3 linked regions of the Sus scrofa genome follow. The protein of the gene in region 1 interacts with the protein of each later gene in a pairwise test. Links are inferred from orthologs where the notes say so. Each region holds a gene or a part of one and is shown in the gene's direction. Other genes may lie near its edges.

Region 1 (7,129 bases):
TTAATTAATTTTATTACATTTATAGATGTACAACAATCATCACAACCAAATTTTACAGCATTTCCATCCCAAACCCTCATCTGTTTTCTTTTTTTATAGCATTTTTATGTACATTCTAATGGTTTCTGTGATTACCTTTCTTATGTTTATGGTTTGTCTCTGTTTCCTCCCACTTACCTCATCTCCCTCAAAAAGAAAAAAAAAGTGTGAATGCCATAACGGCAGAGATTTTTCTTCCTGTTTGTTTATAGATGTATCCCAAGTGCCTGTAACAGGGTCTGGCATATAGTGGATACTCAATATTTGTTGATCAGTTGAGTGACTGGCCGCAGATAAGGCTGGAAGAGTAGATTGGTAGCTGGTTGTGAAGATCACTGTGGGTGGACACTAGTCATATTTGTTTCCGCTGAGCCACAACAGCAACTCCCTAATAGTTTGATTCTTTTCTTTCTCAGAACAATGTAATAAGAATAAAATGAGAAATTGAATCATCTTCTTTTTTTTTTTTGGTCTTTGTGCCTTTTCTAGGGCCACTCCCACGGCATATGGAGGTTCCCAGGCTAGGGGTCTAATTGGAGCTGTAGCCACCGGCCTACGCCAGAGCCACAGCCACTCGGGATCCGAGCCACGTCTGTGACCCACACCACAGCTCTCGGCAACGCCGGATCCTTAACCCACTGAGCAAGGCCAGGGATTGAACCCGCAACCTCATGGTTCCTAGTAGGATTCGTTAACCACTGCGCCATGATGGGAACTCTGAAATTGAATCATCTTAGGGTAAAAAAAAAACAACCCTGGAGCGTGGATGAACTGAGAAGCTAGGGAGGAGACTCGTGTGATTGCCAGTAGGAAGGTGATTATGGCAGAGGCCAAAGGGCAGACACATTCAAGAGATGCTGTGCTGAGACCAAAAGAGAGGGTTCCATTAAGTCTTGGGGCGTTATTGCATAGGCATTTAAGAACCACTGACTGCGGGAGTTCCCGTAGTGGCTCAGCGGTAATGAACCCCGCTAGGATCCATGAGGATTCAGGTTTGATCCCTGGCCTCCCTCAAGTTGGTTAAGGATCAGGCATTGCCACAGACATAACTCGAGTCTGGCGTTGCTGTGGCTGTGGTGTAGGCTGGCAACTGCAGCTCTGATTTGACCCCTAGCCTGGGAACTTCCATATGCTGTGGGGTCGGCCCTCAAAAGCAAAACAAAAGAAAACGAACAAAAGAACCACTGACTGGATTCAGACAGACTTCAAAACCTGGGCTCACCACTCATGGGTAAGCTACCTGACTACCCTGAGCTTCATTCCCCTTATAAATAAAAAGGCCACAATAATAGTACCTACCTCAGGGAAGTTGTGAGGATGCTTTGGTTTATTTTTTCTTTCTTTCTTTCTTTTTTTTTGCTCTTTAGGGCCACACTCACAGCATATGGAAGTTCCCAGACTAAGGGTCGAATCACAGCTGCTGGCCTGCGCCACAACACTGGATCTGAGCTGTGTCTGTGACCTACCACAGTGCAGCAACATTACCCACTGATCGAAGCCAGGGCTCAAACCCGCATCCTCATGGATACTAATTGGATTTGTAACCTGCTGAGCCACAACGGGAACTCCCTGGTTTATTTTTTCAATCACTCACATTATTGAGTGACTTTTGGCTGCCTGGTTGTGGGGTCTCAGTAGCAAAGAAGACAACTGTGGTCCCTGCCCTTGGGAAATTCCTTTCTGAATGGGTCATCGGAACGCTGTACAAGAAAACAGAAAAGACACTTTCAGGTAGTGGCAAATCCTAATAAAGAAAGCAGGTGAGCGAGTTATTCGGGGTAGGGGAGGCCTACTATTTTGTTTTTTTTGGCTTTTTAAGGCCACACTCTTGGCATATGGAAGTTTCCAGGCTAGGGGTTAAATCAAAGCCACAGCTGCCAGCCCACACCACAGCCACAGCCACAGCCACTATGGATCCGAGCTGTATCTGCAACCTACACCACAGCTCACGTCAGTGCCAGATCCCCCACCCACTCAGCAAGGCCAGGGATCGAACCCACCACCTCATGGATACTAGTGGGATTTGTTTACACTGCGCCGCAACAGGAACTCCTGGGCCTACTTTATATGGTGATATAGGATGGCCTGGCTGTGGAAGGGACACGGAAGCCTGAATGGTAAGGGGGAAAAGCTAGTTATCCAAAGATCGGGGGAGGAGGAGAACCTTCGAGAAAGTGGGAATAGTAAGGGGAAAGGCCCTGAGGCCTGGGCAGCCTTGCTGCAGGAGATTCACATGGAAAAGGTCGTTGTGGCTACAACACAGCAGGTGAGAAGGAGAAGGGACGGCGAGGCCAGAGGCGTGGGCAGGGCTAGACCATTGGCCCGTGTAAGCCAGGTAGGGAATTTGGGTTGTATTCTAAATTTAGTGGGAGGCTCTTGGAAGATTTCAAGCAGAGGGATGAAATGCGCTCTTTTTGGTGTAGACAGTCACTGCAGTTGTTGTGTAGAAAACAGATTGTAAGGGGCAGACTCTAAGAGGAAGCTCACTTAGGAGGCTCTGGCAGATTTTTGAGAGACAAGTGGACTGTTTGGACTAGGATGGCTTTGGTATAGACTGGTGGACACATTCAGGGTATATGTCGGAATCAGCTGGGGTTTTTTTTGTGGGTCCATGTGGTTTAAGGGAAGAGAGATGAGTTGAGGATGACTCAAGTTTTTGGTCTGAGCAACTGGTGAATGGTGGTGCCATTTACCAAAATGGCAAAGAAGGGGGAATGGTTTTTTTTGAGGGGGAGTTAAGAGTTGTTTTCTACGTTCAGTTTAAGAGGACGTCGCATGCTGCTTGGGTTGCGTAGCACGTGGTCATCAAACACGGGGCTGCCATTCTGTTCACAAAGCACCCGGTGCTCAGTAAACGCTCAGTGTAGACTCTGTTTTCTTGTGGCAGCAGGTCAAGTTAAGAAGGTGTCGGCATGTGACTTAGAAGCTTCTAGGGGAGTTCCCATCATGGCTCAGCGGAAATGAATCTGACTAGGAACCCTGAGGCTGCGGGGGTTCGATTCCTGGCCTCTCTCAGTGGGTTAAGGATCCGATGTTGCCGTGAGCTGTGGTGTAGGTCGCAGTCACGGCTCGGATCCGATGATGCTGTGGCTGTGGTGTAGGCCAGTAGCTGCAGTTCCGATTAGACCCCTAGCCTGGGAACCTCCATATGCCACGAATGCGGCCCTAAAGAAAAAACAAGAAAGAAAGAAAGAAGAGAAGCTTCTAGCTCAGATACCTAGGTGGGAAGTGGTGCCATTTTCTGAGCTTCTTGGGGAGATTTGGTGGAGGGGGGAAAGCTGGAATGCAGTTTTGGACACATGGTTGTGAGGAGACTCCGTTAACTCCAAAGAGACAGACCAATCAGCAGTGGAAATTGTCCCGGCATCCTGAAAGAATGGTTGGAATGGGATAGCAATTGGGGGGGTACTAATGGGGGGGGCTGTCAGCAGGACTCCAGAAGGTGCCTGATCTAGTTATTTTTTCTAGCCTATTTCTTTCTTTTTTTTCTTTTTTGTCTTTTTAGGGCCCCACTTGCGGCACATGGAAGTTCCCAGGCTAGGGATTGAATCGCAGCTGCAGCTGCCAGCCTACACCACAGACACAGCAGCAGAGGATCTGAGCTGCATCTGGGACCTACACTGCAGCTCATGGCAACACCGGATCCTTAACCCATTGAGCGAGGCCAGGGATTGAACCATTTCCTCATGGATACTAGTTGGGTTCATTACCACTGAGCCACAGGAACTCCCCACATTAGTAATTTTTTAAATTTTATTATTTATTTTTATTTTTATTTTTTGTCTTCTTAGGGCTGCACAAACAGCATATGGAGGGTCCCAGGCTAGGGGTCAAATTGGAGCTGCAGCTGTTCCCCGCAACAGTAATATTTATTAATTATTTGTTTCTTTTTCTTTTTCTTTTTTGTCTTTTTAGGGCTGAACCCACAGCATATGGAGGTTCCCAGGCTAGGGGTCAAATTGGAGCTGCAGGTGCCGGCCTACGCCACAGCCACAGCCACTCCAGATCTGAGCCAAAGCTCACAGCAATGCTGGATCCCCGACCCACTGAGTGAGGCCAGGGATCCTGTGTCCTCCTGGATATTAGTCAGATTCATTTCCGCTGAGCCATGACAGGAACTCCAGCAGTAATTTTTAGAAGGCATTCTGTATGTAAAAATTTTATTGATTGCTCCTGGGAAACCATGCTGCCTTTGACTCTTTCCATCTCCTGAGTCCTGCCCCAGCCCCGCTGTTGGTCAGTGTGCTGTGGGTCAGAGATTTGGGCCTTTTAAGGGGTTCTGTGGCCATGCGCCTGGCCTCACAGCAGGGGTGGGGGTGGGGCCGCCGGGTGGAGGGAGTCAGCAGCTCAGTTATTTACAAATGTCACCACCTCCTTCTGGCTCTCCTCTGCAGGGACCGAGCCAGAGCAAACGCCAGAGCTCGGACCGTCCCAGCAGGCCTTTCTGGTCTGAGTGTCGGAGATACCATCACCCCTGCTAGAAATGCCCACCTTGCCGTCCCTGCCAGCGATGTCCATGTGGGGGAGACGCTGGCCGAGGACACCCCCCTCCCTCCCAGTGGATACTCAAGTTTTTCTGCTTCCTCTTTCACCAGGACATCAATAGCCTCAACAAGCAAATCGCCCAGCTTCAGGATTTCGTGAGAGCCAAGGGCAGCCAGAGCGGCCGGCACCTGCAGACGCATTCCAACACCATTGTGGTCTCCCTGCAGGTGGGACCCGGGAGCGGGGGAGGCAGAAGGCGGACAGTTGTTGTCTCCTCTGGCTGACCCTCTCTCCTCTCCTTCCAGTCGAAGCTGGCCTCCATGTCCAATGACTTCAAATCAGTTTTGGAAGTGAGGACAGAGGTGAGAAGGAGCTGTGTAGGGGGCTAGGAGTCTGGGGATGAGGGTCCCCGAGGGAAACAGGAAAGGGACAAGTGGAAGGGAAGGGCGGGGTGGTCACGGGCCGCAGGCGGGGTCTCTTTAACACGCCGGCCTTCCAGAGGCCTCAGGCGCTTCCCCTTCCTCCCCAACCCCAGAACCTGAAGCAGCAGAGGAGCCGGCGGGAGCAGTTCTCCCGGGCACCCGTGTCAGCCCTGCCCCTCGCGCCCAACCACCTCGGTAAGTCACAGGCAGCGCAGGGAGCCTTGGGGGTAAGGCGCCGTTACTCCGGCTCTGAGGGTACCCTCTAAGGCAGGCGTTGGGTAGGAGAAAGGAGGGCCAAGGACGGTGCTCGGCTTGATCTCTCAGAGGCCAAAGCTGAGGGTGGGATGTGCAGTCCACACCTGGTCTCCCACATTCATTCTCACCGTTGGGGTGAGAAGTCAAGTTCAGAAGGATGACCGTTTCTCTCTTTTTTTTTTTCTTTGAGGGCCACACCTACGGCATCTGGAAGTTCTCAGGCTAGGGACGGAGTAAGAGCTGCAGCCACCAGCCTACGCCACAGCCACAGCCCCGTGGGATCTGAACCGAGTGTGTGACCTACACCACAGCTCATGGCAACGTCAGATCCTTAACCCACTGAGCGAGGCCAGGGATTGAACCTGCATCCTCACGGGTACTAGTTGGGTTCATAACCCACTGAGCCACGATAGGACTCCAAGAATGACAGTTTCTAGTATTTTTTATTTTTATTTTTATTTTCTTTGCTTTTTAGGGCTGTACCCTTGGCATATGGAAGTTCCCAGGCTAGGGGTCCAGTTGGAGCTACAGCTGCTGGCCTAGGCCACAGTCACAGAAACGTGGGATCCACGCCATATCTGTGACCTACACCACAGCCACAGCAACGCCAGATCTGAGCCATGTCTGTGACCTACATCACAGCTCATGGCAACACCAGATCCTTAACCCACTGAGCAAGGCCAGGGATCGAACCCTCAACCTCATGGTTCTTAGTCGGATTCGTTTCTGCTGCACCACGATGGGAACTCCAACAGTTTCTAGTATTTGTTGTGCACCTGTTCATTTTATTTACATTCCATCATCTAATTTTGGCAACCACCCTTTGAGAAAGCAGCTATTATTATCCCCCGTTTTATAGCTGAGGAAACTGAGTCTCAGAGACGTCCAGGGTCACAAGGCTAGTAATTGCCGGAGCTGGGATTCAAATCCAGAGCATGTGGGCTTTGAACCTTTTAACCACTAAGGAGTGCCGTGTCTTCTTTCTTCCCCCAGGGGGCGGTGCTGTGGTTTTGGGGGCAGAGTCCCGAGCCTCTGGGGACGTGGCCATTGACATGATGGATTCTAGGACCAGCCAGCAGCTGCAGCTCATTGATGAGCAGGTACCCAGGCTCTGAGCGGGGGAGGAGTAGCTCCTCTGGTTTCCTCCGTGGGCCACAAGCAAGCGTTTGGAATGTGCCGTGGGTGGAATGGCAAGAGGGAGGGCCCTCAAGAGGCAGGCCCCGCCCTGAGGAAGCTCCCAGGGCTCATGTGCACTCTCTCCCTCTGAAGGACTCCTACATCCAGACCCGGGCAGACACCATGCAGAACATTGAGTCCACAATTGTGGAGCTTGGCTCCATCTTCCAGCAGTTGGCACACATGGTTAAGGAACAGGAAGAAACCATTCAGAGGTGAGACTCTTCCTCTCTTTAACCCTCGGGGGTTGGCATCCTAAAGGTCCCCAGGGGCAGCTTGATGCCCTTTGGAAGAGAGGGTGAACCCTGTCCACCCCCAGGGTCAGTTCACCTCCCTCTGTTCACTCGACAAGTGTTGACTGAGCACCTGTTTCCCACCAGGCCCTGTGCTAGGTGCTGGGGATGTGGGGATGAACAGACAGTTACATCTGTTTCGTGAGGCTTACTTTGTTGTCTTCATACAGAATTTACCAAGGTGGGTGAGGAGAGCTATTAAAGAGAATTGACAAGGAGTTCTCTTGTGGCACAGGTTTGATCCCTGGCCTGGGAACTTCCTCATGCAGTGGAGTCAGCAAAAAAAAAGAATTTAAAGAAATTTTCGGGTAGTGATAAAGGGCTATACCGAGAAAGTAGGACGAGGTGTTGAGAAAGTGTCGGCGGAGGTATGTCAGATAGGGTGGCAGGGAAGGCTGCTCTGAAGACTCGACTCGACATTTAAGGAGAGGCATGAACAGCAGGAGGGATCCAGCCATG
Region 2 (7,129 bases), about 2.8 Mb from region 1:
GCTCAGTGGGTTAAGGATCCAGTGTTGCCAGGAGTTTTGGTGTAGGTTGCAGATGTGGCGCAGATCTCGCGTTGCTGTGGCTGTGGTGTAGGCCGGCAGCTGTAGCTCCATTTCAACTCCTAATCTAGGAACCTCCATATGCCACAAGTGTAGCCCTAAAAAGCAAAAAAAAAAAAAAAAAAAAAAAAAAAAATTTTTATTGAAGTATGGTTGATTTACAATATTGTGTTAGTTTCTGGTGCGTAGTAGCAAAGCGATTCAGTTTGTATATATGAATTAAGGAGGCTCTTCAGGGGAGTTCCTGTCGTGGCTCAGTGGTTAATGAATCCAACTAGGAACCATGAGGTTGCAGGTTCGATCCCTGGCCAGTGGGTTAAGGATTCCGTGTTGCCGTGAGCTGTGGTGTAGGTTGCAGATGCCGCTCGAATCGCGCGTAGCTGTGGCTCTGGTGTAGGCTGGCGGCTACAGCTCCGATTTGACCCCTAACCTTGAACCTCCATATGCCTCGGGAGTAGCCCAAGAATGGCAAAAAAGACCAAAAAAAAAAAAAAAAAAAAAAAAAAAAAGAAAGAGGCTTTTCAGACTTAATGGGGGGGGGGGCAGTTGAGTGTTTTATTTATTTATTTATTTTTTTGTCTTTTTGTCTTTTGTTGTTGTTGTTGTTGCTATTTCTTGGGCTGCCCCCGCGGCATATGGAGGTTCCCAGGCTAGGGGTTGAATCGGAGCTGTAGCCACCGGCCTACGCCAGAGCCACAGCAACGCAGGATCCGAGCCGCGTCTGCAACCTACACCACAGCTCACGGCAACGCCAGATCGTTAACCCACTGAGCAAGGGCAGGGACCGAACCCGCAACCTCATGGTTCCTAGTCGGATTCGTTAACCATTGCGCCACGACGGGAACTCCGAGTGTTTTAAATTAGTGGGGTAGGAGTTCTCATCATGGCTCAGAGAAACAGTATCCACAAGGACGCAGGTTTGATCCCTGGCCTCGCTCAGTGGGTTAAAGATCCAGCACTGCCATGAGCTGTGGTGTAGGTTGAAGACATGGCTTGGGTCTGGCCTTGCTGTGGTTGTGCTATAGGCTGGCAGCTATAGCTCCAATTCAGCCGCTAGCCTGGGAACCTCCATATGCTGCAAGTGTGACCCTAAAAATACCAAAAAAAAAAAAAGTAGTAAGGTGTGGTTAGTTGGGGTGAGTATCCTGGGAGATATGTATATATTTCTTTCTCAGATTCTTTTTCATTATGGGTTATTATAAGATATTGGATATAGTTCCCCTGCTGTACAGTAAATCCTTGTTGTTTATTTCATATACAGCAGTGTGTATCTGTTAATCCCAGACTCTTAATTTATTCCCCCCCCTTTCCCTTTGGTAATTATAAGTTTGTTTTCTATGTCTGTGAATCTGTTCATTTGTATTATTTTTTAGAATCCAACTATAAGTGATATCATATAATATTTGTCTTTGTCTGACTTACTTAGTATGATAATCTCTAGTTCCATCCTTGTTGTTGCAAATGGTATTATTTCATTTTCATTCCTTTTCATGGCTGAGTAGTGTTTCATGGTATGTATACGTACCACTTCTTCACCTGTTCATCTGTTATTTCCCTGTCTTGGTTATTATAAATAGCATTGCTCTGAACATAGGGATGCATGTATCCTTTTGAATTAGTTTTGTCCAGATAGATGCCCACGAATGAGATGGCTGGGTCATATGGTAGTTGTATATTTAGTTTTTAAAGGAACCTCCATACTGTTTTCCGTAGTGGCTGCATGAATTTACATTCCCACCATCATGTAGGGGGGTTCTCTTTTCTAGCAGTGGAGTCTTAAAAAAAAACAAAAAAACAAAACAGCTCTTGTTTGGAATTCAGTTTGAAGAGCTGGTAGAGGAGAGCTGCCCAGGTTGAAGTAGGGGACGGGGTCGAGTCTGGCCCTGGTGGCCCCTCTCACACTCTCCTCTAGGGAGGCCTCTGAGGCTCCCAGAGGCAGCTTAGGGTTGAGCGTGCCTCCCTGGTTTACAGCTGAGGAAACTAAAGTGTTCCTTCCGAAGATTGTTGGTCATCATTTGTCCTGTTTGGTGGTCATCAGACACATGATCCTTGTCCTTGAAGAAATGGCACGATGTTCAAGTGGCACAAGGAAACTTGACACAAGACCCCCAGGAAAGCCGTGTAGAAAGACATGCTGAAACGCACATGCCCTCAGCCTCAGATGAGCTCGGGGAGATCTGGGGTGCCCAGAGGCGGCTGGGCCATGGATGGGCAAGAGTGCCACTGTGGGAGTTCCCCTTGTGGCTCAGTGGGTTAAGAACCCAACATAGTGTGCATGAGGTTGTGGGTTTGATCTTTGGCCACAACAAAAAAGTAAAAAGAGTGCCACCATGTACAGGCCCAGGAAGAGATTCTCCTTAGAGGCATGGGGGCAAAAGTGGTGTGTGTGTGGGTGTGTGTGTGTGTATGTGTGTGTGTGTGTGTGTGTGTGTGTGTTGGAAGTGGTAGGGGTGGGGGGCAGACATGAAGAGAACAGTCTGACTAGAGTAAAAAGTTTGTCTTGGAATAGTGAATATTGAGTTTCAGTAGAGAACACAGCGCCATATTCCAAAGGCCTGTGACTACCGTCTAGGGCGTTGCATTTGACTGAGTAGCCTGCATGTAACTTCAGGTTGCAGTCTATTAGGAAGATAATCTGGTATCCATATGAAAGCGGATTGGCATGGGGAAGAGGCAAGAGGTGGGTGGGTCTCTAGTTGGGTTTTTGCAGTGGTTTTGGTCTGAATTTGCACGGTGATCATGGGATTGAAAGCACTGTAGATATGGATGATTTTTGCAAAGGAAAAACGAGTAGGGCTTGATGCTGAGAGGTGGGCAATGAATCAAAATGATAAAGATAGGAGTTTAGGCCCCAGGGCCGTTGAGTGAATGCCTTGAGTTGGATGCAAGAAAAGTTGGGGAGATGAGTCTGCGTATGAGCCCAAGGACCTTTGGATGTAGGAGGTGAGTCCGCAGCTTTAGAGAGCAGGGCCTCTGAGATTCACAAAGAGGTCTCCTTTGGTCTCACAGTTACTTCACGAGTTCATCAAGGCAGGTAAACAAATACTGAAAGCATGCTTTGGAAGGGTCAGCCGGCTCTCCCAGTGGTGTAAGGTTAGAAAACCAAAAAGTTGAGTCTCACAGTTCCCATCATGACCCAGCAGGTTAAGAACCCGTGAGGATGCAGGTTTGATCCGTGGCCGCGCTCAGTGAGTTAAGGATCTGGCTTTTGCCACAAGCTGTGGTGTCGGTCCCAGATGCAGCTTGGATCCCCTGTGGCTGTGGCTGTGCCATAGGCTGGCAGCTCCTGTTTCACTCAGAGCTGGGGAACTTCCGTATGCTGAGGGTGCAGCTGTGACAAGAAAAAAAAAAATAGTTGAGTCTTTTTTCCAAGCCCGGTGCTACCATAGAGGAGGCTGTGTGGGGCTGGGGTTCTGTAAGTCGTGGACCTTCCGTCTCCCTCTCCCCCCGGGGGCTCACGGCCTTTGACCTTGTCCCCACAGCACTCCGTCCTCTCCCGCAAGTTTGTGGAGGTGATGACCAAATACAACGAGGCGCAGGTGGACTTCCGTGAACGCAGCAAAGGGCGGATCCAGCGGCAGCTGGAGATCAGTGCGTGTTTGAAGTTTGGCCTGTGCCCCTTCCCCTTTCCTGCCACGCACTTGTCAGTCCCAGATTGTGAGGCCAGAGGAGAGGGAGCAGCCCCGTGGGTGGCCTCTGCCTTCTGTTTTGTGCCCAAGCCGAGGAGAGGCCTTACAGCACTGGCGCATCCTGGACGTGGTGTCTCAGGCTGGAGGGTGGCTCCAGGTCATCAGGCACCAGTGTTCGGTTGCCATGGGAACCGGCGTTTCCTCCTACATGGAGGGAAACATCTGCTACCCAGCTGCCCTCTTCTGAGCTTACGACATCTCTTGCTGCCTGTTGACAGCAAAGAAGGATGCTAGTTGCCGTGAGGAATCAAGAAATCAATAAAGCCGGCCCTTTAGGAATCAGCTGTGTGGAGGGCAGGGCGGGATGTGGTTTGGGTGCAGGAATTGTATAAACAAAGGTGCAGCCAGGACAGAGCACATGTGGTCAGGAGGGGCGGCTGTCCCGGGCCTGGGGACGGGGCGCATTTGGGCAGCAGGGTGAGGTCAGGACAGATGGGGGGGTGGTCACCCAGGCAGCATGGGCTCCTCCTCCTGAGGACCTTGTTCTCTGTGGCATAGTCAAGGGGCCAGTAAGCATTCTGAGCTGGAGGGAATGTGATCAGACTTGTGCTTCAGGAAGGGAATTGCTGATCCTGTTAGGGATGGACTGGGCTAGGGGAGAACTCAGGAGAAAGGCGAGTCGGGAGGCCCTTGGAGTGTTGCAAAGGCCTTGGTCTTTATGATGAGGTTGGTGTGATTCCCACTTGGGGGGAACTTTTGAAATGGTGTGCTCTGCTTCTTTTGTTATAAAGCTGGCAAGAAGACAACGGATGAGGAGCTGGAGGAGATGCTGGAGAGTGGGAACCCTGCCATCTTCACCTCGGGGGTGAGTGATGCAGGGCAGGGGGCAGGGAGGAGGGAGCCCTGCTGGGGTGGGGGCTGAAGGTCTCTGTGTGGACCGTCGTAGATCATCGACTCTCAGATTTCCAAGCAAGCCCTCAGCGAGATCGAGGGGCGGCACAAGGACATTGTGAGGCTGGAGAGCAGCATCAAGGAGCTTCACGACATGTTCATGGACATTGCCATGCTGGTGGAGAACCAGGTAATGCCCGGGGTACCAGCATAGGCAGGGAGGGCGGAAGCCCTGGGTCTCCTGCAAAGCCTGAGGAGGGGCCTCCTGGAAAACCGGGTGGGGCTGGAGAATCATTAGGAATTTGCAGTGGAATCAGAGAATTCCAGTGTGGCCGGGAAAGGAATGAACTTGGGTGCTGACACTTCCAACAATCACAACTTTGTCCTTCGAGCCTGTTACTTTGGCTCGGAAATCACTTCTACTTAATATGGGGTTTGCTGTGCTCTGCCAAGTACCTGGTTTCCTCCAGCCTCAGGATTGCTGTTTTTTTTTTTTTTTTTTTTTTTTTTTAAAGTTAGAAATACAGGTTCTTAATGATGCCTTAAAACAACCTCCTGATAGGAACTATTTCACTGGTGACATGGATACATAGGGTCTTTTCCCAGGTTCACAATGAGAAGTTAGGTTTAACAGGTTTTTATGCTTTGCTTTTTTTTTTTTGTCTTTTTGCCTTTTCTAGGGCCACTCCCGTGGCATATGGGGGTTCCCAGGCTAGAGGTCTAATCGGAGCTGTTGCCGCTGGCCTACGCCAGAGCCACAGCAACACGGGATCCGAGCTGCATCTGCGAGCTACACCACAGCTCACGGCAACACCAGATCCTTAACCCACTGAGCAAGGCCAGGGATCGAACCTGCAACCTCATGGTTCCTAGTCGGATTTGTTAACCACTGTGCCACAACTGGAACTCCCTGTTTTGCCATTTTTGTTTCTTCTCCTGTATGTGTTTTTCCAAAATTTTGGATGCTTTTTGCTAAGGAACAAGAGCAGACCACACGGTAAATGAAGAAAGAGCAAAAGAATATTTGCAGGAAAACTGGAAACACTTCCAGTGCTTAGGTTGCTGGCCTGTTTGGTTCTGGTTCAGGGATGGAAGGCTCTGTCCCCTGCATGGTGGTGTCAGTCGCATGGCTCCTGGTTCTTATGATGCAGTTAAATACGCCACGGTGCTGTGGTTTGGTGGCACTATTTCCAGGCTCTGCCACCTGGAAAGGCTGGAAAGCTGTTTTCTTTGTAGAAGGAAACCCAACTGAAGCCTGAGCACTACCTGGCTGGTTTTGACATCAATTCCCTGGTCTGGGCTCTGGGGCCTTTCCTCCACTCCCTCTGGCCTCAGAGACCACTTCTCCATCCCTCCATTCCCACTCTTCTTTTTTCTCCCCACACTGCCTTGCCGAGGGACTGGTTTGAGATTCGAGTGGTGGTAAGTGCCTTTCCCTGTTTAAAGACTCCCATAAAGCCATGGGTTGGGTTCGGAAGGTCTGGGTCAGTGAAGGGAATTCCCAGCCTAAGATGCGAAGAAAATCAGTTGGAGAAACCAACTCTCCGGTCAGGAAGTAATAGCTGAGAAATGGTTGGGAATCTTATTAAGAGACCTCTGTCTCTTAACCAGATAACTGGTAAAAACCAATGTTTGTCAGTTGTGGGGCCTGGAATTATCTTAGAGAAACCACAGCTGTTCCCACCTCAGTTATTTATTGAGCATCTGCTGTGTGCTGGGCACTATTCTCTAGAAGTGAACACACTCAGTTCAGGCTGAATGAACTTGGTTCAGGTCTGAATCACCAGGAAGAGGTCAGCATCTTGGTAATGCCCTAAGAACATGAGATATACTTTTCTTGGCTTCTTTCCTTACATAGTTCATGTTAAAAAAAAGAACATACCAAGCCTCTAGACAATGTGCCCCAGCTGCCCGGGGCTGTGCTGTCTCGGAGAAGTAATTGAGTGAATGTTTCTGGGACAACTCCCACGGCCTGGGCATCACAGGTAGTCAAGGGTCATGGGGAAGATGTGATAGTTGGTCCTGTGGAAGGCTGCACAGTGAAGTTTCCAGATGCTCCTCTTGGCGCTGAAAAGAAGGAGAACTGCTTTCTCACCTGAGTAGGACCATCCTCAGGTGGGTTTCCCAGGTGTGACGAGTGTCTGTTCTTTGCAGGGTGAGATGTTAGATAACATAGAGTTGAATGTCATGCACACAGTGGACCACGTGGAGAAGGCTCGGGAGGAAACGAAAAGAGCCGTGAAGTACCAGGGTCAGGCCCGCAAGGTGAGACTCTGGCACTGCCTTTGGAGAAGAGGATCCATTGTGTGTGCTGTCTCTTGCTCTCTCTCTCTCTCTCTCTCCTCCCCACCCTGCTCCTCTCTCTCCCCATCTCTCTTCCTGCTTCTGCCACCTCTCGTATCCGGGGGAAGGGAGCCATGATTGACCGTATTGAGAACAACATGGACCAGTCAGTGGGCTTCGTGGAGCGGGCCGTGGCGGATACCAAAAAGGCTGTCAAGTATCAGAGTGAAGCTCGGAGGGTGAGCCCTTGGTCTCGGCTGGACCAACAG
Region 3 (7,854 bases), on another chromosome or scaffold:
AGAGAGCTTTTCTTGTATCTGCTTCTCAACTGTCTTCAGCTCAAAATGATCCTTGTGGAGCTCCTGCTGTGGCGCAATAGGATCAGTGGCGTCTTGGGAGGCCTGGGACGAATATTCCATTATATCCCTGACCTGACAGTTGGCTAAGGATCCCACTTTGCTGCAAGCACAGCTCAGAATGGATCCCTGGCCTGGGAACTCCACATGCCACGCAACAGCCAAAAAAGAAAAGAAAAACGATCCTTGTGCCGCAGGAGGATATCTTGGGGAGGTGTACTCTGCTACCTTTCTCTGTATATAAGATTAACCAAAATCAATTCTATCCCTAGACATTAGGAACAAAAAGATTATTTTATTTATTTATTTATGTATTTGCTTTCGAAGGCCGCACCCATGGCAGATGGAGGTTCCCAGGCTAGGTTTGAATCAGAGCTACAGACACTGGCCTACACTGCAGCCGAAGCAACTCGAGATCCAAGCCTTGTCTGCAACCTACACCATCGCTCACAGCAACCCCAGATCCTTAACCCACTCACTGAGAGAAGCCAGGGATCGAACTGGCATTCTCATGAATCCTAGTCAGGTTCATTAACCACTGAGCCATGATGGGAACTCGACAAAAGATTTTTGGTGAAATTTTTTAAAATATGATTTGATGTAGTTCCTTGATGGCCTAGCAGTTAAGGATTCGGCATTGCCATAGCTATGACTCAAGTTTGATGCCTGGCCAGGGAACTTGTTGGTGCTACAGGTATGGACCAAAAATTAAATAAATTTTTAAAAAATGGCTCACCTTTAGAGAGTAGTGATTAGGAGGAGGTGTGAAGGCTTCTGTGCTGCAGGTAATATTCTTTTTTTAATTTGGGTGGTTTCATTAAAGCATTACTCTATAAAAATGTAATTGAGCTACAACAAGATTTAGCACTTTACGTATGTGACTATAAAACAGGTTTGTTTGTTGTTGTTGTTTGTCGTTTTAGGGCCATACCCACGGCCTATGGAGGTTCCCAGGCTAGGGTCGAAGTGGAGCCTACGCTACTGCAGACCCAGGCTAGGGGTTGAATTGGAGTTGTAGCTGCTGGCCTATGCCACAGCCACAGCAACGCCAGATCCGAGCCACATCTTTGACCTACGACGCAGCTCACAGCAATGCTGGATCTTTAAGCCGATGAGAAAGGCCAGGGATCGAGACTACATCCTCATGGGAGTTCCCATCCTGGCGCAGTGGTTAACGAATCTGACTAGGGACCATGAGGTTGTGGGTTCAATCCCTGGCCTTGCTTAGTGGGTTAACGATCTGGCATTGCTGTGAGCTGCAGTGTTGATCGCAGACGTGGTGGCTCGGATCTCACGTTGCTGTGGCTCTGGTGTAGGCCGTCGGCTATAGCTCTGATTCAACCCCTAGCCTGGGAACCTCCATATGCCGCGGGAGCGGCCCTAGAAAAGGCAGAAAGACAAAAAAAAAAAAAAAAAGAAACTACATCCTCATGGATGCTAGTCAGATTCGTTTCTGCTAAGCCACAATGGGAACTCCTAAAACAGTTTTTTAATTATTTTAGTTTTCACAAAATTAACTTCCTCAAAAAAAAGAAAAAGAAAAAAAAGAAAAAGAAAAAGCAAGGAATACTGAAGGAATAAAATGAAAGAATTACATCATACTAATAAAGTTAACAGGGTCCACCACTTGAGAGCCACTGCCAAGAAAACACGTGGCAAACATTCTTTTGAATCTCATAAGACCACTGAGGTGGGTATTATTTGTTCTTATTTTAGGGAAGATGCTGAAGGTTCAGAGAGGTGAAATCACTTGCCAAAGTCACACAGCAATGGCGCTGGGTTGTCTCATTCCACATCTCATGCTTTTCACCACTCACCACATCACCTACCAAACAGGTTCTTTCCCAGATTTTTAACAAACCACCATCTAATAGCCAAAATAATAACCATCAATTAACAAGGATTACCACCTTAAGTCCTTGAGGTAACCTGAGAAGCAATTGTTATCTCCATTTCTGGGAGGAAAACTGAGGTTACGGGAAGGAAGCGATGGAGCCAAAATTCAAACCCAAGAATGTCTGACTCTGGTCTTATCACTCTACACTGCCCAGCAGTTCAGAGGCAAGGATACTGTCCATCCATTCGTTCATTCATTCAACAAAAAATTTTGGGGTGTACACACTGGACCAGCTATGTTTTGGTTCCCAAACAACTTCTTACTGCTAAGAGCTCACAACGGGGGAGGCGGTGGGGAGTGGGGGCGGAGGGAGGTGACAGTGCACAAACTTAGAGTAGATCACATGGTGAGACGTGCCACGAGGACCACTAAAAAACAGTAAGTGGATAGAGATGAGGATCTGAAGTGTAGACAGTGTGTCAGCGGAAGGCCTCTCTTAGGAAGTGACCGCTGAACGCATGATGGTGAGATGGAGAAGAGGATGCAAAAGGATGCCTTTTCAGAGTTCCTGTCGTGGCTCAGCGGAAAGGAATATGACTAGCATCCATGAGGATGCAGGTTCCATCCCTGGCCTCGCTCAGTTAAAGATCCGGTGTTGCCGTGAGCTGTGGTAAGGTCGCAGACCCGGCTCAGATCTGGTGTGGCAGTGGCGTAGGCTCCGATTCGACGCCTAGCCTGGGAACCTCCCTATGCTTCGGGGTGCAGCCCTAAAAAGACAAAAGGCAAAAAATAAAAATTAAAGAAAAAGGATGCCTTTTCTCTGTCTGGGCTAGCAAAGAGGCCGAGTGGGCATAACATCTTTTATCCCAAATGCCCCTCCCAGGGAGTCAATCTGGGCTGTAATCCTCTTCCTCTCTCTAGCCAGAAAAGCTGAAGGTATTTTTTCTCCACTCTCTCCGAAAGGGAATGAATTAAACGGTTTGGGAAAAAATTCTTCGGGGATCTATGACCCCTTCGTGACTGGAGCCCCAAAACGGCTCCGGAGGGGTGAGGCAGGACGGCATTGTGACGGTGACCGGCAGCCCAGCATTGAACAGAGGGCAAAACTTGGTGGCTCATAACAGCTCTCCCTCACTGGGGTCCGTTTCACCGAAACTTGAGCCCACAGAGAAGACCCAGTACAGGGGACGTAGGTGACCCCGCCGCCTCCTCTCAGTTGGGAACCCCTTCTGCCTTAGACGCTCGGCCAATACGCATGCGCCCGCCCCGCCCCGCCCCGCCCCACCAGGCGGGGCTCGCCCGCGGGCATCTCTACGCATGCGCAGCCTTGCTGGTACCTGCATGAGCGCGCGCCTCGCCCCGGTGTGCGCCTGCGTCGGGGGAGGAGCCCGGGAGGGGCGTGGCTTAGGCACCGCGTTCGCTCTCGGTCACGCCTCTGTTTCTTCGCTTTTTCTGGCGGGAAGAGCGCACGCGCGTCTCCTCACGACCCAACTGCCTTTTCCCGTTCGTGGCCTTCAGCTGTGTCCCGAGACTGTCCCGTTCGTGGCCTTCAGCTGTGTCCCGAGACTGGGCCGTGGCCTCAGGTGCGCTCCGGCCTTAGCGAGGTTCCCCAGAGTAGCCGCGTCAGAACTCCTCCTGACTAGCGAAGCCCCCAAATCATAGGCTAGAGCCCCAATGCAGAAGCCTCCCAAGCCTTGTAAAAAGCCTTGTTGAAATCCTGACCAAATTCCTTCAGAAATACTGAAAGGAACCCCCCCGAAATCTTATAGATGACCCCTGAAATCGCGTCAGAATCTTCTAGAAATTCTGTAGTCTTCCCCCTCAGAGCTTGTCAGAGAGCCCCCCTGAAGTCCCATTTCACTCCCTCTGTAAATCCTACTAGAAAGCCCCCAAGGTCCTCCCAGAGATCTCCAGAAGTCTTGTCACATCCACCAAAAATCATGTCAGATTCCCCTCCAAAATCCTGTCAGAAATGTCCGCCCCCCCAAACCCAGAGACTCCCCAGAAATCCAGTCAGAGACCCTCTTGAAATCCAGTTAGAGACCCCCTTATATCCCCAGAATTCCTGCCCAGGTCCTCCTGCTAGAATCTCCCCATCCAAGACCCCAAAGCCTCCCTGGGTCCCTCACCAGGAGTGTGTCCCCCAAACCCTGTCAGAGGCTCTCAGGGACCCTTCCCCACACAGGACCCACAACTATTGACCCTCTTCCGCCGCCCGTCCCCCCCCCCGCCTTGTCCACACCCTGAAAGGGTCTCTCTTCAAAGATCCCTTTTTCTAGGACCTTCTAAAAATGGCCAGGAAGCGTGCATGCCATAGCTGTAGCTCCTGCCTGGCACCAGGGAGAAGGGGGTATGGGGAGTACTGGGTGAGGAAAGGGGCTGTGCGGGTGGGGTGAGGACAGAGAGGCCCCAGGCAACCCTGCGATGACCATTAGCCCCAGCGTGCCCAGTTCAGCCCTGTGGGCACCATTGTCATCGTCAGGGCATCGTCAGGGCACAAAGGAGGGCGTCCCTAGCTGCTCCAGTGGCTCCGGGAAGGCTCCCCAGAGGAGTTTGCTGGGTCCAGAGAATGCTGGGTCTCCATAGGCCATGATGAGAGTGAGGGACCTAGAGGTTGGCCAGTGGAGAGAAGGGTGACAGAAGCCAGGAGCTGCAGGGACCAGTCTGTGTCACACCAGCCTAAGAAGCTGGGATGAAGAGAGAGGGGCTGAGGGCACTAGGGAGCCATGGAAGGGCTGGGAGCTGGAGAGAGACAGGGGTCAGACTCACAGCGGAGGCCAGCAGTTCAAATACAAGCTGATAGAGCAAGGATGTTAGTGCCCCAGGGCAGTGTGGGAGCCCAGGGACCGTGCATCATTCAGAAACGTTTTCAAGGGAGTTGTGGCTCAGCGGGTTACAAACCCAACTACTATCCATAAGGATGTGGGTTCGATCCCTGACCCCTCTCAGTGGGTTAAGATCCAGCATTGCCATTAGCTGTGGTGTAGGTCACAAGCGTGGCCTGGATCTGGCGTTGCTGTGGCTGTGGTGTAGGCTGTGGGCTACAGCTCCCATTCTACCCCTAGCCTGGGAAGCTCCATGTGCCACAGGTACAGCCCTAAGAAGCAAAAACAGGAGTTCCCGTCATGGCACAGTGGTTGACGAACCCGACTGGGAACCATGAGGTTGCGGGTTCGATCCCTGGCCTCGCTCAGTGGGTTAAGGATCCGGCGTTGCCATGAGCTGTGGTGTAGGTCAAAGATATGGCTCAGATCCCGCGTTGCTGTGGCTGTGGTGTAGGCCGGTGGCTACAGTTCTGATTGGACCCCTAGCCTGGGAACCTCCATGTGCCGTGGGAGTGGCCCCAGAAATGGCAAAAAGACAAAAAAAAAGAAGAAGAAGAAGAAGACGCAAAAACAAAAAAGAAAGAAGTGTTTTCCAGAGGAGGGATGAACTGGACAGGAAGGGCCAGCAAGGAGGGTGTCCGAGTCAGAGACCTGGAGTGGGAAGAGCCAGTCCAGTTTGGGGAACAGCACATGGGATTTGGGGTTGGGGGAGGCAGGTGGTGATATCAGGCCACTCAGGGCCTTTGATATCAAGTTCAGGTTTGAGGCTTTGTCCCTGGGGTGCTTGGGAGCCATGGAAAGACATTGGGCAGCTGAGGGGCAGGGCGGCTGTCGGGCCCTGTGAGGAGGGACTAGAGCAGGAGGCTAGAGGCAGGAAGCTGGGTCAAGATCCTGGGGGCGGGGGACGAGGCCGAGGGCTGACCCAGGGCCAGAGGGAAGGAGAGGAGGGGACAGGGTGGAGTCACTGGGCAGAAGGGACAGGGCCGGGGAGCTTGACAAACGGTGTAGAGGAGGGATGGCAAGAGGCAGTGACCCCCCACCCACCAGCCCCCCTTTGACGTCTGCTGCCCACTCCTTGGGCCCCTGTTTTCCCGGCATCCGTAAAACAGGTCGGACCAGGGATCTGCTCTGGTCCAGGCTGGGGTGGGCAAACGGGTTCTGAGAACCCAGAATGGCCTGGGGCAGGGGTGGGGCAGCCAGGTCCCCATCCGCGGGTGGCTGGTCTGCAGAGGCCATTCCCCTGTTTGTCCCTCCAGGAGCTCTCAGAGCAGCCTCTCCCTCGCCGTCCCTCCCACTGATGGAGGGAAGCTCTTAGCTTCACCGGCAGCTGCAGAGCAGCGGGGGTGCCCCATGGACCTGCCTGAGGGCCCTGCAGGTGGCACCACTGCAAAAAGTAAGTAGCCGGGTCCCTGTCTGTCCCCTGGGAGGGTGAGGAGGAAGCAGTGAGTGAAGGGGGCACCAAGCTGTGACCCTGGGACTTGGGAGAGGTGGCTCAGGGGTGACTGAGCCTCCACCTTGATGCTGGGTGGTAGGGAAGGAGTAACCATTGATTAAGTGCCTGCTGTGTCCCCACCTGTCTGGACACCGTATCTCATTTGCCCTGGGGAGGCCGGACAGTGCGAGAGCCGAAGCCTCTGTATGCGCTGTGTGCCTTCCTGTCTCCGGTGACCCACGGTCTCACCCCTCACTTCACTCAGAGCTCTGCTTCCTGTAAGGCCGCTGCCCTATGGCCCTCTCTCCTCTTCCTGCTTTCCTTCTCTTCATGGCACTGCCATCCACTTGTCTGTCTAGTCTCTGTCTCCCCCACTAGAACATGAGCTCCACAGGGCAGGCTCAGTTTTACTCACTCTGGTATTCCTGGTCCATTGAGCAGCGCTGGCCAACCATCCCGCATGTGTAATTATAAAGTTTATTAGTGGCCACATTAAAAGAAAAAAAGAGGAGTTCCCGTCGTGGCTCAGTGGTTAACGAATCTGACTAGGAACCATGAGGTTGCAGGTTCGATCCCTGGCCTTGCTCAGTGGGTTAAGGATCCGGTGTTGCCGTGAGCTTGGTGTAGGTTGCAGATGCGGCTCGGATCCTGCATTGCTGTGGCTCTGGTGTAGGCCGGCAGCTACAGCTCCGATTCGACCCCTAACCTGGGAACCTCCATATGCCATGGGTGTGGCCCTAGAAAAGGCAAAAAGACAAAAATAAAGAAATAAAAATAAAAGAAAAAAAGAAACAGATGAAATGAATGGCAGTAATAGATTTCATTTAATCCAATACGTCCAAAACAGTGTCCTTTCAGCCTGTAATAAATACAGAAATGGATGGGGGAGTTCCCATTGTGGCTCAGCAGTAACGAACCCGACTAGTATCCCTGAGGAAGCGGGTTCAATGCTCAGTGGCTTAAGGATGCGGCGTTACTGTGGCTGTGGTGTAGGCTGGCAGCTGTAGCTCGATTCGACTCCTAGCCTGGGAACTTCCATATGCCAAGGGCGTGACCCTAAAAAGACAGAAAAAAAAGAAAATGGATGGAGTTCCCTGATGGCCTAGTGGGATAAGGATCCAGTATTGTCACTGGTCAACACAGGTGTGATCCCTGGCCTGGGAAGTTCCATATGCCATGAGCGCGGCCACCCAGAAAGTATTGGAATTATTCTCGGTTTTTCATACTAAGTCTTCCAGTGTATACATTACAGTAAGAGCATCTCAATTCATACTCACCACAGTTCAGGTCTCAAGAACCACTGTGGCCAATGGCTACCCTGTTGGTCATGCTGCCCTAGATCAATGTCTGACATGTAACAGAAAGGCAGTTACTCAGTCCTTGAGTAATTGGATGGATGCAAACCAAATGGGTGTGAAGGGGGCTTCAGGGGAAAGATGCTCTGTGCCCTTTCTGAAGCTCGTCTGAGAGCCCACTGCCGTGGGGCAGGAGGCTCCCAGCCTAGACGGGAGACAGGGCCCCCTTCTTAGGGGCTCCCAGCGTCCAGCTGCAGAACCTGCATCTTTTCTCAAGGCTGCAGACCTGGACGCTGGCTTTAGGACGCTCTCCAGGTAGGAAGGCAAGAGGCAGACACCGGCATTCGGGAAGGTGGGGCGGGCTGAGCGAGTGACCAGCAGCTAAACTTTGTCTGCACCAGCAGAGGG

Evidence for each region.
Region 2: the proteins of STX5 (region 1) and STX3 interact in binary tests that used the Homo sapiens proteins (3 or more experiments, as listed by UniProt). The link is inferred for Sus scrofa from reciprocal best matches to the Homo sapiens genes STX5 and STX3.
Region 3: the proteins of STX5 (region 1) and CCDC155 interact in binary tests that used the Homo sapiens proteins (3 or more experiments, as listed by UniProt). The two-hybrid records come from large-scale screens. The link is inferred for Sus scrofa from reciprocal best matches to the Homo sapiens genes STX5 and KASH5.

The regions. Positions count from the first base shown.
Region 1 is NC_010444.4:8,942,953-8,950,081, forward strand, and holds part of STX5 (syntaxin-5), read left to right. Parts: intron 1-4,634; coding exon 4,635-4,751; intron 4,752-4,829; coding exon 4,830-4,886; intron 4,887-5,059; coding exon 5,060-5,141; intron 5,142-6,194; coding exon 6,195-6,301; intron 6,302-6,470; coding exon 6,471-6,592; intron 6,593-7,129. UniProt on the Homo sapiens protein: Mediates endoplasmic reticulum to Golgi transport.
Region 2 is NC_010444.4:11,703,475-11,710,603, reverse strand, and holds part of STX3 (syntaxin-3), read left to right. Parts: intron 1-3,539; coding exon 3,540-3,648; intron 3,649-4,477; coding exon 4,478-4,551; intron 4,552-4,632; coding exon 4,633-4,767; intron 4,768-6,731; coding exon 6,732-6,842; intron 6,843-6,988; coding exon of another isoform or gene 6,989-7,099; intron 7,100-7,129. UniProt on the Homo sapiens protein: Potentially involved in docking of synaptic vesicles at presynaptic active zones. Apical receptor involved in membrane fusion of apical vesicles.
Region 3 is NC_010448.4:54,473,701-54,481,554, forward strand, and holds the start of CCDC155 (protein KASH5), read left to right. Parts: upstream 1-3,288; 5' UTR 3,289-3,477; intron 3,478-5,975; 5' UTR 5,976-6,069; coding exon 6,070-6,112; intron 6,113-7,854. UniProt on the Homo sapiens protein: As a component of the LINC (LInker of Nucleoskeleton and Cytoskeleton) complex, involved in the connection between the nuclear lamina and the cytoskeleton.